Linked DNA regions of Drosophila melanogaster. The protein of the gene in region 2 purifies or fractionates together with the protein of the main gene of each other region. This does not show direct contact. Each region holds a gene or a part of one and is shown on either strand. Other genes may lie near its edges.

Evidence for each region. The genes of interacting proteins can lie anywhere in the genome.
Region 1: the proteins of Aprt (region 2) and Gmd purify together in Drosophila melanogaster (affinity purification with mass spectrometry, with the first as the bait; one large-scale study listed by BioGRID). This does not show direct contact.

What each region holds. Positions count from the first base shown.
Region 1 is NT_033779.5:4,973,245-4,980,116, forward strand, and holds Gmd (GDP-mannose 4,6-dehydratase), read right to left. Parts: upstream 3,780-6,872; 5' UTR 3,686-3,779; coding exon 3,515-3,685; intron 3,412-3,514; coding exon 2,976-3,411; intron 2,916-2,975; coding exon 2,335-2,915; 3' UTR 2,056-2,334; downstream 1-2,055. Other genes in the region: CG14043 (uncharacterized protein), read left to right, coding at 1-370; mRpL28 (mitochondrial ribosomal protein L28), read left to right, coding at 893-913, 1,033-1,856, 1,909-1,972; CG3792 (uncharacterized protein), read left to right, coding at 4,354-4,441, 4,504-5,174; CG8891 (uncharacterized protein), read right to left, coding at 5,322-5,463, 5,532-5,841, 5,901-6,024; CG8892 (uncharacterized protein), read right to left, coding at 6,440-6,872. UniProt on the Drosophila melanogaster protein: Catalyzes the conversion of GDP-D-mannose to GDP-4-dehydro-6-deoxy-D-mannose (also known as GDP-4-keto-6-deoxy-D-mannose or GDP-4-dehydro-alpha-D-rhamnose), an essential step in the synthesis of GDP-fucose from GDP-mannose.
Region 2 is NT_037436.4:1,881,989-1,888,667, forward strand, and holds Aprt (adenine phosphoribosyltransferase), read right to left. Parts: upstream 3,032-6,679; 5' UTR 2,798-3,031; coding exon 2,703-2,797; intron 2,573-2,702; coding exon 2,335-2,572; intron 2,261-2,334; coding exon 2,045-2,260; 3' UTR 1,904-2,044; downstream 1-1,903.

The DNA of each region.
Region 1 (6,872 bases), on a different chromosome or scaffold from region 2:
GGTCAATCAGAGCTGTATGAAGGCCATCAAGCACTTTGAGAGCTATGTCAAATCCTATCTGGTCAAACCGCCCAGCGAGGAATGGCGACCCAACATGGACGTGGAGGAGCAACGCCACATGCTCTACGCCCACTTCCACATCGGTCGCATCTACTACAAGCTGATCAGTGGCCATCCGCTCCAGCAGCTGGAGCACCTAACTAGTTGCCACACCTACTACCAGAGATTCGATGCTGGTTGCCAGCTGCACAAGGAGGCGGCCGAGACGCTGCAGGGCGAGATTGGTGTTGTGCGTGAAATGCTCCAGCTGTTGCCGCTCAAGATAAACACGATTAAGGCCAGGTTGAACAAGGCTGGGCTAACCGCGTGAGAATTTCCAAAAAATTAATTGCATTTGCTAAAAGCTTTATACGTAGTCAAAATAAATCGCGTTTCTTTCAAGGATATTTAATTGTTAATACATTAGTAACTTACATGTTACATTCTGATAGCGAAAGTAAGCCGCTTTTCGATTTTAATTGCCGACAGCATAAATTTATTTCTTGCTACTCGTGAATGGTACTTATGCCGGAGTATGGCTTGGCGCACTGTTTCATATATTGATTATAATAAATAAGTTGAACTACTTCGAAACTCAATTTTTTGCCGAGCATTTCTAAATTTCACAAAACTAAATTGAACGAAGCTCTGTCTCCGAAATACTTTTCAAACCTGGCAACCCTGGCTGCCAGCCATTCACATACGAACAGCTGTTTTTTCCAAACAGGAAGAGGAAGAGCGCCGTTGGCCTAGCCAAAATCAGGGAAAATATAGTTTAATAGCCAAGTTTAAACTGCCACTATAGTTTTAATAGTGAATAATAACAGTAAACTGCTAGTTCGTTCCTTAAAAAATGGCACACGCCACGCCACAGGTATGTGATTGCCTCAAAAATAAAGAGGAAACTGGTAGTGCGCCGCGTTTCTGTGACGCAATAGCTGCGTTAACTTTCGTAAACCCCATGGAATAACAAAGCGTTTAAACCTTCTGCAGGGCGTAAAGCTATTAAACGGATGGAAGCGTCCGGGTCGCTTTGACAAGGGTCTGGGAGCCCAGCTGCCCGAGGCGTACAGGAAGTTCTGGCGCGAGTGGAAGCTGACGACCCCGGCTGCGGTCCATTATATCCCCAAGGAGCAGCAGTGGGAACGAGATGAGGTGACGCACGCCATCAAGCCGGTGCAGAACATCCCGCTGCCATTGATCGATACGCCGGAATCGCACCGTGGCATCTGGGGTGGCGAGGCCGTGATCAAGGGCTTTCAGAAACGCGAGCAAACAAAGCGTCGCGTGCCGCACTTTTGGGTACCAAATCTTAGGCGTTCGGTGGTCCATAGTCATGTGCTGGACTGCTACATGTCCGTGGTGGTGACGGAACGCACGCTGGAGCAGATCCATGAATGTCATGGCTTTGATCACTACCTCCTCAAGAATCGTGCCTGCGATCTTCGCTCCGCTTTGGCTCTGAAACTCAAGCGAGAGGTGCTTCAGGCCCTGCAGAACGGTGTTCCAGCCCTCGCCGACGAGCCCGAACGCCAACAGGAAGTGCTTAAGGAATACCGCCGCTATCTGGAACCATATACGCCCGAGGAAATCGATTGGTACGGCCATACCTATTTGGAGGCCATACGCAAGCTGCAAAAGCAGCTGCGCGAAGCGGAAAAGGTGGTGCCGCATAAGTTGGAGTTCCGCGGAAAGCTTATCGAGCAGCTGCGCCAGGCGGGGATCAGCGAAGCGGGAAAGCTGGAGAAGCCGGATGCATTAGCAGCAGAATCGTCGGTCGAACACAAGGATTCGGATATCGAAGCGCTTACAAAGCTGTAAGTCACAAATACTTCTGTAATGAATTTCCTAACCAATGATTTATTCCAGGGAATCCTCCCCCTCTTCCAGTTGGCTGTCTAAAATCAATCCTTTCGGCAAGAAAGAAACCTAGAAAAGCTGTCCGCGTTTGTTTTTGATTTATGTGTTTAGCCTCGAACGAATAAACATAACTTCGGAAACATTTCGTTACAATTTGAAGGTATTAAAACGTTGTTACTCGAACGTCTTTATTTCAAATATTCGTTACATCTGGTACTGTATAAAAACAAGTAGAATCACACACTGAACATGAACGTACGCGGCAAAGTAGAAAAAGGAATGATTGCAAATCCCCACGAGAATACAGAAATACATTGACAAATCAACTACGCTGATCACTTTACGCTTAGACTATGGTTAGTGTATAGCTCCGCAAGCGGGCAGAGAGCTTTGTGCCGTAAATGATCCCAGTCCGAGCTGGAAGCCAGGTAGGCCTTAAGCGATTGGATTTTTCCTCATTAATTCGATGTCAGCCTTCATCATGTCGCTAACCAATTCCACGAAGGTAACTTTAGGCGTCCAGTTTAGCTCTCGATTGGCTTTGGACGCGTCGCCTTGCAGCAGATCGACCTCCGTCGGCCGAAAATACTTTGGATTTATGCGGACGCGCACAATACCCGTGCCGTTCTCCACTCCCACCTCGTCCACACCCTTGCCCTTCCACGTTATCTCTCGATCAATATGCTTGAACGCGGCTTCCACGAATTCGCGCACACTGTGCGTTTCGCCTGTAGCTATGACGTAGTCGGAAGGAGACTCCCGCTGCAGCATCATCCACATGGCCTCCACGTAGTCGCTGGCATGTCCCCAGTCGCGCTTTGAGTCGAGATTGCCCAGTTCAAAATACTCCATTTGCTTGTGATAAATCTTGGCCACGCTACGGGTGATTTTTCTAGTCACAAAGTTCTCGCCACGTCGTGGACTTTCATGGTTGAAGAGGATTCCATTACAGGCGTACATGTTGTAGGCTTCCCGGTAGTTGATGACGATCCAAAAGCCGTACATCTTAGCGCAGGCTAAAGTTAGGTGGGATTAAGTATTACTTTTAGCATACATTATCGAAGCTGCTGCCTTACCATATGGCGACCTGGGATAGAAGGGCGTCTGTTCGTTCTGTGGCGTCTCCACCACTTTACCATATAGCTCCGAAGTGGAGGCTTGGTAAAACCTCACGTTCTTTTCCATGCCACAAGTGCGGATGGCGTCCAGAATGCGCAACGTGCCCACGGCGTCCACCTCGGCCGTGTACTCACTGAGATCGAAGGAGACCTTGACATGGGATTGTGCTGCCAAATTGTAAATCTCCGTGGGCTTCACCATATTGATGATCTTCACCAGGCTGCTGCTGTCCGTCATGTCGCCATAGTGGAGCTTCATACGCCCACCTTTGTGCGCCTTTGGATCGGCATATAGATGCTCAATGCGGGTGGTGTTGAAGGTGCTGGCCCGCCGAATAATGCCGTGCACCTCGTAGTCCTTCTTGAGCAGAAACTCTGCCAAATAGGAGCCATCCTGGGCGATAGGGAACAAGTAAGAATCGAGCACTTTGAACACGTAAGCACGGAATGAAGGAGATGCCCCTGAAACAGCCGTGACTAATTCATCAATTACACACCTGGCCCGTTATGCCTGTTATCAGCGCCACTTTATCACGGGAGTCGCCTTCGGCGCCGGCTTCCGTTCCGTTTTGGTCCTTGCTGCCGTTGCTGCTGCTTTCAGGACGTTGCTTCTTGGTTTCCGGGGCCCCATCGGAAGTCGACATAGCAATTAGCCGGGTATTTAGCATTTACTGACGCTAGTTTTAATTTTCACGCCGACGCAGCCCGGATAATAAACAAACTTTTGTCTACAGCACTCAGGTAGAGGTGAATAAATAATCGATTGGTTATCGATACATCGCAATCGAAGCACTTGTACGGGACAGTGGGGCAATCTATTTAAGACAGCCTAAATTATTTTCAATAAGCAAAAAGTAAATATTTTATCACAAAAAACAAATTATGTATGGAATAACATTTTAAATAAGAATTCAGCGCAAATTTAAAATTAAAACCAAATCTGGTTGAATAACACTTTATTTACTTTACTGCCAATGTTGCACTTTTTTTCGATTTTGTTCCACTTTGTGGCAGTGTTGAGTAGCAGGAAAACCCACGTAGCGATTTTTAGCGCATACCTTTCAGCGAAAGCCGGACGAAAATAACATAACGTTGGCACAACCACCTATCTTATCATTCCTCCTCCACTCCCAAGCCGATTCGCCACCGGGCATCAATATCTTCTTCGGCGGAACCCGCATTACGTGTGCGTAAACGGCGGCTTTCAATTTCATTCTCGGAGCGACCGGCCGGCCAGCTTGATAACACCGGTGCATAGTGAAACCAGCGCCGCTTACTAATTAAGTACGACCACGACCTCCGAGATAAACAGAAGTCAATTGTTCGCAGCACAAAAATGACGGATCTTATCAGGCAGGGTGCTCTGTTCCTTATGAGCGAGAAGTGCTATGATAACTACTTCCTCTATCACAACTTTTTAGATGGTGAGTGGCTGCTAATTCAAAAAGGTATGTGCCTATTAAGTATCAATTAACATTTCTCGTAGTTCCGTGCTTCAAGGCTTTGCTGAGCAAGGGCTTGGGATTGGCAATTATCGCAGGTTCCGTGCTGGTCAAAGTACCACAAGTGCTGAAGATCCTTAACAGCAAGTCTGGCGAGGGCATCAACATTGTGGGCGTAGTGTTGGACTTGCTGGCCATCTCCTTCCACCTGTCGTACAACTTTATGCATGGCTATCCGTTTAGTGCCTGGGGCGACAGTACCTTCCTGGCCATCCAGACCGTCACAATCGCCGTCTTGGTCTTGTTCTTCAACGGGCGCAAGGCGCAGTCGGGACTCTTTCTAGTGGGATATGTCGTGCTGATGTATGTTCTCAATTCGGGGCTAACGCCCATGTCGGTGCTGTTCACCATCCAGAGCTGCAACATTCCCATCCTGCTGGTGGGCAAGCTGTCTCAGGCGTATACCAACTACCAGGCTGGATCCACTGGTCAGTTGTCAGCCGCCACTGTGATCATGATGTTTGCAGGATCGGTGGCCCGCATCTTCACCTCCATCCAGGAGACTGGTGACTTTATGATCATCCTCACTTTCATTGCCTCTACCTTTGCCAATTCGGTTATTCTGGGCCAGCTGATCTACTACTGGAACAAACCCGCTGGCGTCAAGGTGAAGGATTCAAAGGCCAAGAAGCCGAAGACCAAGAAGGATGACTAAGCAGTGCGGATAGAAGTAACAAAAGTAGAAACAGATATACATAGAGAGATTTGAACTCGAAACATAGGTTGCAACAACTTCTCGACAATGTAGAACAAATATGCGATGTTTAAATAATTGAATTGAATAATTAAATTAAATTGAGTCCTAGTTTATTAACTTGTCCTGTTTCTCGAAGTGCTGCCGCAGTAGAGCTAAAGCGCGGTAGCGATGGGAAATGGTGTTCTTCTCGGACTTGGGCAGTTCGGCGTAGGTCTTATCGTAGCCACTGGGCTGGAAAACCGGATCCCTGCGGCAATGATAGAGAATTTAATAAGCAAGAGCCATTTTATCAGACTTCTTACGCAAGTGACTCACCATCCAAAGTCCCGGGGGCCGCGAGGTTCGACGATAACGCCCTCGGTGATGCCCTTAAAGATTAGAGGCTCGGCATCCACACCGTCGCAGTAGCCAAAGGTGCAAATAGCCTGAGCGCTTTTGTTCTCCCAACCATGGAGCAGACGGTGTAACCCCTCCGGCTGCAGCTTCTCCAGGAACCATTTGATGTACGGACCCGGCAAGCCCTCCAGCGCATTGAAGCACAGACTAGTGTCCTCCACCAGCACGGGTCCATTCACCTGACGCGCTGCCTCCTTGCACTTCTTGATGGCAATCTCGTCGATGTCGCCTGACATTAAACATACGTAGTTTTAGTACTACATCATTCAGATGATGGCTGTTATTCACCTTGCAATTCCGGAAGATCAATCTTCTTTGACACAATGGTGCGCGGGAAACTGGGTCCCAGGATGGCAACCAACTCTTCCAGCTTCTTGGCGTTGCCGGTGACAAAGGTAATTGGTTTCGACATGACGGTACAGATTAAATTGTCGCCCTCAATTTAAACAATTGGCCGCAGTATTCAACGCCATTTGCAAGACTAAAGCATGCGGCCAAATCAGCTGTTTTCTGCTTAGCTTGGGCGCGAAATAAAAGACAGGGTGGTTATTACTCAAAAATATTCAAAAAGCTGGAATTAAAAATACATACATATATAATTAAGGTAACTTAAATAAGTTGGTGAATTAAATTGTAACACAGAGAAGAAAACGCATGTGGTGTCTAAAAGCCTTGACAATAGCATTTCTAGTTGATTTATTCAACATAACTTATTTTTAGGACAAAAATGTAATTCAAATGGAAAGTTTTTTTTTTTTTTTGGGACGATAATGGTTTTCTTGGGATGACAAAATTTGCAAATAAATATAAGATGCACATGAAAACTTCTACTGATCGTCCGCGTTTGTGAGATGCAGATTTGCCGATGGATGCAGGCCGAGTTCCTTCAGGGAGCTATCGTTATGCTCCGCCTCCAGGAATTTTCGCGGGAAGGCGCAAATGAGCTTGTAGCCGTCCTGAGGGATGTGCTTGTGCGTCTGGCTGATGTACAGCCGCAAAGTTTGCAGTTTGGTGTCCGAGGGCCAGCGCAGCTGGACCATCTCATCTGTTCCGGCGGCGTTGAGCAGGCGCAGTTTAAGGGCAGTCAATTCAGTCTTGGCCTCGCCCAAGTGATTCTCGAAAGAGGCGGCGGCCACACCCTTGAGCTCCTCATCATCGAACTCCTCAAGGCTCTCATTATCGCTGGCTCCATCGGGACTATCGTTTTTCTGGTTGCCTTCGCCTCCGCCACCACCGTTCTCGTTTATGGAATTCTTGATG
Region 2 (6,679 bases):
TGTCTTGTCTCCATTGTTAGCATCCACTTCTATTTTTGCCTTTTATGCAATGCTTAGTAGTGTGATTTTTAATGTTTACAGAGTCTTTATTTTTAATGTTCCACTTTTAGTTGAAGCAAGCTGTTGACTTTCCTTTTGTTATTTGTGTTTGTTATTGATTTTCTGCTCACTTCAAACTCCATTCCGCAGGCCTCGCAAAGCAAATAAAAAGAGCACCCCCATTTTTGTCTGTTTATGTTTATAAAGTCATGCCTGCTTATTTTCATTTTTGCCAGCTTTTACTTTGCTCTGGCTTTTTCGTTTATTTGATTTTCACGTCATTTCTGCTGACCTTAAACTTCTTATAAATAGTCACATTCCACGCATTCAAATATTTGTTTGCAGGGTTCTTATCACGCTATAACACTCATATTTTCAAACATGGGCTATGCTCTACATACATATGTTGCCATGCTATCTTTAAGCGAAACTTTAATTTTCACTAAATTAAAAAAAAACACTTCCAGCTTGCTTGTACATTCATGCTTTTTGCCTCTTTTCACCATTCATGTTCAGAGTTTAACTTTTGTATTCAGTTTCATGATTCAGTGGGGGTTTTATTGCACTTTGGGTCATCGAGTTAATTGTTTGGCACCGTGCACGTAATTGTTTCTTAATAATTATACACACACTCAAGCACACAGCAAACTTGGCAAACAAATGCTAAATGCGGGGCGTAAGAGGCGTATACGTAACGTGCTGTCAATTGCCGTGCTTTCTATGCCTGTGCCCTCTCTCTGCCCTTCCGCTCTCTCCACTCTTCCTTCCGCTCTCTTTTCACAACAATAAACAACAACAAACACGCGGAATGCGGGATGAGAGCCACTTTTTAGTTGTTGTTAGTCAATTGTTTGCCAATTGAGGAAAAGCGCGCAATCAATATCAATTCTCCAGGCGTGCTTGAATAATTTTCTTCTTATTTATTTTTTCTTTGTGAATAGGGGGGTGTGTGGTTAAACAACAAACACCAACCGTTAGCGTCATCACCGCACAACGCACATTTCACGAGTGAAATCAAAATCAAATGCGAAATGAGCACAGGCTGAAAGCAGCGACGTCGGCAGCGCAGTGGCTGCGCAGTTTCGCTTTTTGCCAGTCTCCATTCTCTCTTCCTTCTGGCTCTCCGCTCCTTGATTCCTTGATTTTTCCTTGCGCGCTCGGTTTGTTGCTATTTTTCCGTGTCTTTTCGGGGGGTTGTTGGGTTGGTGTGATTTGTTTATCGGCGGGCTGGGCGGGGGCGGAAGTTCCTCGAATTCTGGGTTAACGCAGCACAACAATTTTTGTTTATCGCTGAGCAAAGGCGCCGGTAACGGTAAACTTGAGAGCGACGAAATCAGTGAATGTGCCAAGAGAGAGAGAGAGGGAGGTGAGAGTGCAGTGAGTGCGCAGAGAGAGAAAATCGTTTTTTAGAAAATATATTTTTGATATAATTTTTAAGCAGTTAAAAATGTTTACCCATTTAAAGACATCCGTTAATCTTGGTTTGAATTTCATCCGTTTGCATTGTTGCTTCTTACTCACGTAACATATTTCAAAGCATACTTTTTGGATTGCTAATAATTAAAGAAAATTTAATGTACGTAAATAGCTGGAAAAGTTAAATTAATAATTATTTTCATGTGCACTTTTTTTAAGTAATATATTCTTTAATATATACATACCTAAAAACCCTATAACAACACCAAAATTTAAAATAGATTATTTAATTTATGTTCGGAAAACTATCCAAAAATAGTTTTCGATATCCAAGTTTCGTTATTTATTTTTGCTTTTGTCGCTGTTTTACATACTTTTTGCTTATACAAATGTTTCACCGTAATAGTCAACCCATGTATTATTATTCAAAATAAAATAAGCTATGTTTCATTGAGAGATTATACGATTCTGTTATCAGAGCCAAATATATTTCGTTATAAAAATATGCGTCTGTCTAGTTTTTATAAAAATTTGCTAGTTGAATAGGTAAATGCAAGTGTGGAAGGCTTCGTCACAATTCGATTAACTCTCAGTACTTAATGAGGGAATGCACTTTTCCATCCAGCCTTTTGCGACCCTCCAGTCCAACTAGTTCCATGACCACCAGGCTCTCCACGACAACGCCACCCACCTTGCCGATGAGTTCAGTGGCGGCCACCAGGGAACCACCTGTGGCTAGTAGATCGTCAACGACAACGACTTTTTGGCCGGGCTTGATGGCGGATTTTTGCAGCTCAAAGGTGTCCTGGGATAATTAAGTTGAAAGCATAAACATCTTTGTGCTTGGGAATAGTAAGTAATATATTTGGGAGTACTCACAATACCGTACTCCAGTTTGTATTCCACGGAAACCACTTCTCCCGCCAGCTTGCCCTTCTTGCGAATCGGAGCACATCCCAGGCCCAGCTCGGTGGCTATGAGGAGATTAAAGAGGAAGCCCCGCGAGTCCAGTCCCACGATGACCTCCGCCTCGGGAGCACTTTCCCGGATGTGATCAACAAGCAAATCGCGCAAGTACACACATGCCTTCGGATCGGTGAGGGCTCCGAATATGTCACTGATGTTTAATATGAAAACAAATGATTTTACACATTAACAACCTGATAAGGGTCCATTTGCTCGCCCATAATCATCATCGCAGCACTATTAGTGCTCCAATCTAATAACCTCGAGTGACGATAACTCACCGGAACAGAATGCCCTCCTTTGGGAAGTTCGGATACTCGCCAATCTTGCTCTTTACATAGTCTAGCTTGTCTTCCGCGCTGATTGAGGGGCTCATTTTTCTACTTTTATGTTTATTTATTTATTAACTTAGTTATAAGGGACTTTTTACATGGGTTTTCTGACTGTAGCGCTACGTGAGTGCGTGCCCAACTGCGGATTGCCGTACGGAACAGCTGATAAGTCAGCTGATATCGGGGAAGGTGGTTGCTATAGATGGGAGATATGCCACACGATGAACGGTCGTGTTGAGTTCGCTGCGCGGTCGATTTGAAATTGAGGTGGATAAGGTGCTGTGGGGACTTTTAAACGCTTTGAAAATATAAATTCGGAAAAAATTAATATAATGCCAAATCGTCGGTATTTCACTATTGAAAGCAATCAATATAATTTATGGGTTTTGATTTAGTTAACTACAACCACTCTTCTCTTTATGATATATATTGATGATATGATATTTCGTATATTTTCTGTGTATTTCCACATTTATCTTAGAGTTCTAATGTCGGCTAGCTATTTCAAAACCAAACATTTGGTTTGACATTTGCTTGCACAAAGAAAGCAGTTCAATGAATGCGGCAAACATCCTGCAGGTAGACAAGAGGCATTAAGAAACCTCCCCCGACTTTTCTCTGGGTCTTTCTCCAGATCTCGAGGCTATCAGATAGATAAGTGGAGAAATCTCAGTAATTCTTTGAGGGAAAGACATTGAATGCAGCACTGTTTATCGAGCTAAATGATTGAAAAGAAATGCCAACAATTTTCGCTGCACTTATCAAAGGCGGGCCAAGATCGGGAACTCTCACCTGGACTCCATCTCTCTCTCTCTCTCTTGTTCCCTCTTTCTCTCGGTGGCCCACTCACACAGGCACGCAAGTGAATGTGAGTATCTGTGTGTCTGTATCTTAGACTCCCAATGCCAAGAAAGATTCAGTTCGTTTCTCAGCGCCGAACGCGACGGTTCAGTTTTATTGGTTTCTTCGGAAGAAGCGGATCGAATTCGAATTCCTTGCCCGCGATTTTTAATAATTAATGCAAACTCGCGAACAATAGTAGTAAATTAAAATAACAACAATAGTCCGGAGGAACAGCTAAAACCGAAACCTGTTCTCGACCAACGTAAGCAGCGAAATAACGCATGAAAAAGCAAGAGTTTGCAAATCCTCAGTTTGAATTCGATCTTAACGGCAGAAGTAAATGTCAGACGACAAAACTGCGCCCCGTTTTTGCCATTTTAAATGTCGGAAAACGACTCTAAAGGCAGCCATAAACAACAACCATACTGCAGTTACTCCAATAACAACTGAAACAACAAAGTTCAAACAACATAAAAACGTGAAAACCTACAAAAAATATATACATATGTATCTATGCAACATTAGACACAATATAGCGAAGTGCAGAAACACATTCACAATCGCATACTTGTACGGTTGCACTTGGAGAAATAATTGGGAAAATAGCTTGAGAAACTTGTCACAAAAGCATTGTAGTCTTAGGTTTAAAATTGGTTTAAAATAGTTGATACTTTTGGATAACCTTCAACTCGAAATGGTTTCTGAAATATTTTAGAAACTTAACGCAATTTCTTCTCAGTGTGCTAGTCACACACACATGCATAACTTGGCAATGTGAAGACGTGCGTACGAAAACTGCAACTGCAACAACAACTGCTGCAACTGCAACTGCAACAACAACTGCGCGCCCGAGTAACGTGAAAAACCAGAAAGAGGCACAGTTTTTTGTTTTTCTGCTGGGTTTTGTTTTTATATTTCTTTTTTGAGGCAAACGAGCATCTCTACTGAAACGAAACTTCTGCGGCTGCGCAGAGGCGGCCTTCGTGATGAAGGGCATGGAAATAGGGCGCTCGGAAAGCAGCAGGAAAAAGGGAAATTTATGGCCGAACTTTGGAAGATGGATTGTAATATTTCCAAAAGTTATGTTATGAACAGATGGTTCACATATTTCACACTGCAGAGTGTGAGTCAGTAGAGCTGATTCAGATTAGCTTACGATTTGAAATATCCCTGATATTAGATAGAACCTCTAGCCGCTCCTGACTTTTTCGTAGGCAAAAGCCGAGTGAAGAATCTCGTTGTGAGCTGCGATTATGCATAGACCCCCATTGTAGTTGTTTGGGCCCGTTGATCATGGTTGGCAGCTTGGTATGCGCGAATGTTTGCTAACATCCAAATCGTGATCTAATAAAAAACGTAGGGAAACAGAGACACATACCAGCGGCCCACGAGCGAGTGGATGAGTGAGCGGACCAGCTCTGGATGGGATCGGGTCGGATTGAAGACTCTTCAAAGGGGCTGTGTGGCATCCACCACCAGCAACTTTCGCAAAAAGTAAGCGCTGAAAAAAGCGGACTTCTCCCAAAATGGATGGCAGCTGGAACGGCTGTCAATACATTGAGTAACTGACCGCAAAAAAAGTAAAATTTTGCCGGTTCTCCGTGTCTTCAATCCCGTTCCGTTTTGCGGTTCTCCCTGCTGGGAGGAGAAAAGAAATCGTCTGTTTGGAACACAATATATGCAGAAACGATCATCACACCTGGACAAAAAAAAAAACAAACACATTGTATAAAGGGGGGAACCCGAACCCAAAGAAATGGGCAAAGGCGAAAAGTTGGAATAAAAACATGGAACAAGAGCCACTTTAAACGCCATTTCCGCATAATTCTGAAATGTAGGAACCAGTTTCGAATGGTGGTGGCTGAAATTTAGCAACTTTTTTTGAGAAACGACGAACGTGTTAATCAAGCCAGTGGCACCAAAGTCTTTAGGTTCCACTTTGTTGGCCAAAACAAACCATAACAAGCTGGTTACATGTACATGTAGCTCCGCTGATCGCCAAGCGGAACAATGAGAGATTTTCCCCCGCTTAGCCGGTGAAAAGCTGAAAATGTGAAAATTAATTACCAGTGTGTGGCCAATTGGTAGCTGTTTTGGCTGTTTGATGGCTCCTCGGCGTCTCTCGGGGCGAGGGAATCCCCATTTCAAAGTCAGAAGCCGCTCCAGACACGGTTTACTCACCACGCGGTCGTCTGGCTGTGCCTAATGTGAAATTTATGTTTATAAAGTAGAAAGTCATCCGCGGCTCAGGGAGTTCGAGTTGTAGATGGATATGAAATGACCAGTGCGGATCGAAGAAAGCCCCACTCTCAGCTTGGAGTGCAGTTTTGCCAACTTCAACTGCCACTGCAACTGCATTCTTCTTGGCTCCTCAATTTGGCCGGCGGCCACGTTTAAGGTATAACCATTACCCAACTGACCTTATTTCATCGCTCATACGAGTGAGTATGTGCAGTCCCAGCTGAAAAGTCGCCGTAATTGCTGATATTGCAACTCACCCATAGCCGTTGATTTTCAGCTTGTTTTCGAGTATTTATTGCAGTGCACAGGAAACTAAAGTGCAATGTGATACAGGTCTTGTTTCTTTACTGACAAGCAGATTTTTAAAGCAGCTGAAATGTCAGTTTAAAAACTGATTGATGGTTTCTACATACGATCAAAGATACAAGAAACATATGCAATATATGACAATTAGTAGTACCAGCAGATCTTTGATCTCGTTTTCTTAGTGTATTTGACTTTTGGAATATTTCTCACATATTTTTTGCCGTGCAAGTGAAACTTGTCCGAAATCGAAATGTTGGAACCGCCGGCCGGTGAGCGGATGTAACCCAAGTCGAGCCAGAGTACGCTGATTTTGCTGCGTCATACGAACTGGAGAGCCTTCCATCCGTTCAGTGGTCACTTTCTTTTTGGTCACGTTCGAATTCGAAAAACCATCGATGCAGTTGAGTTTAGCACGCCCAACAAACATTGAAAACCAACTGCAAACAACGAATTACCCCATAGAAAGAGACAAGCTGGAGATAAAGGAAGTTATTAGACGTCTGCGGTTTGTCTGTCTGGTCGAGTGCAATTTTCCC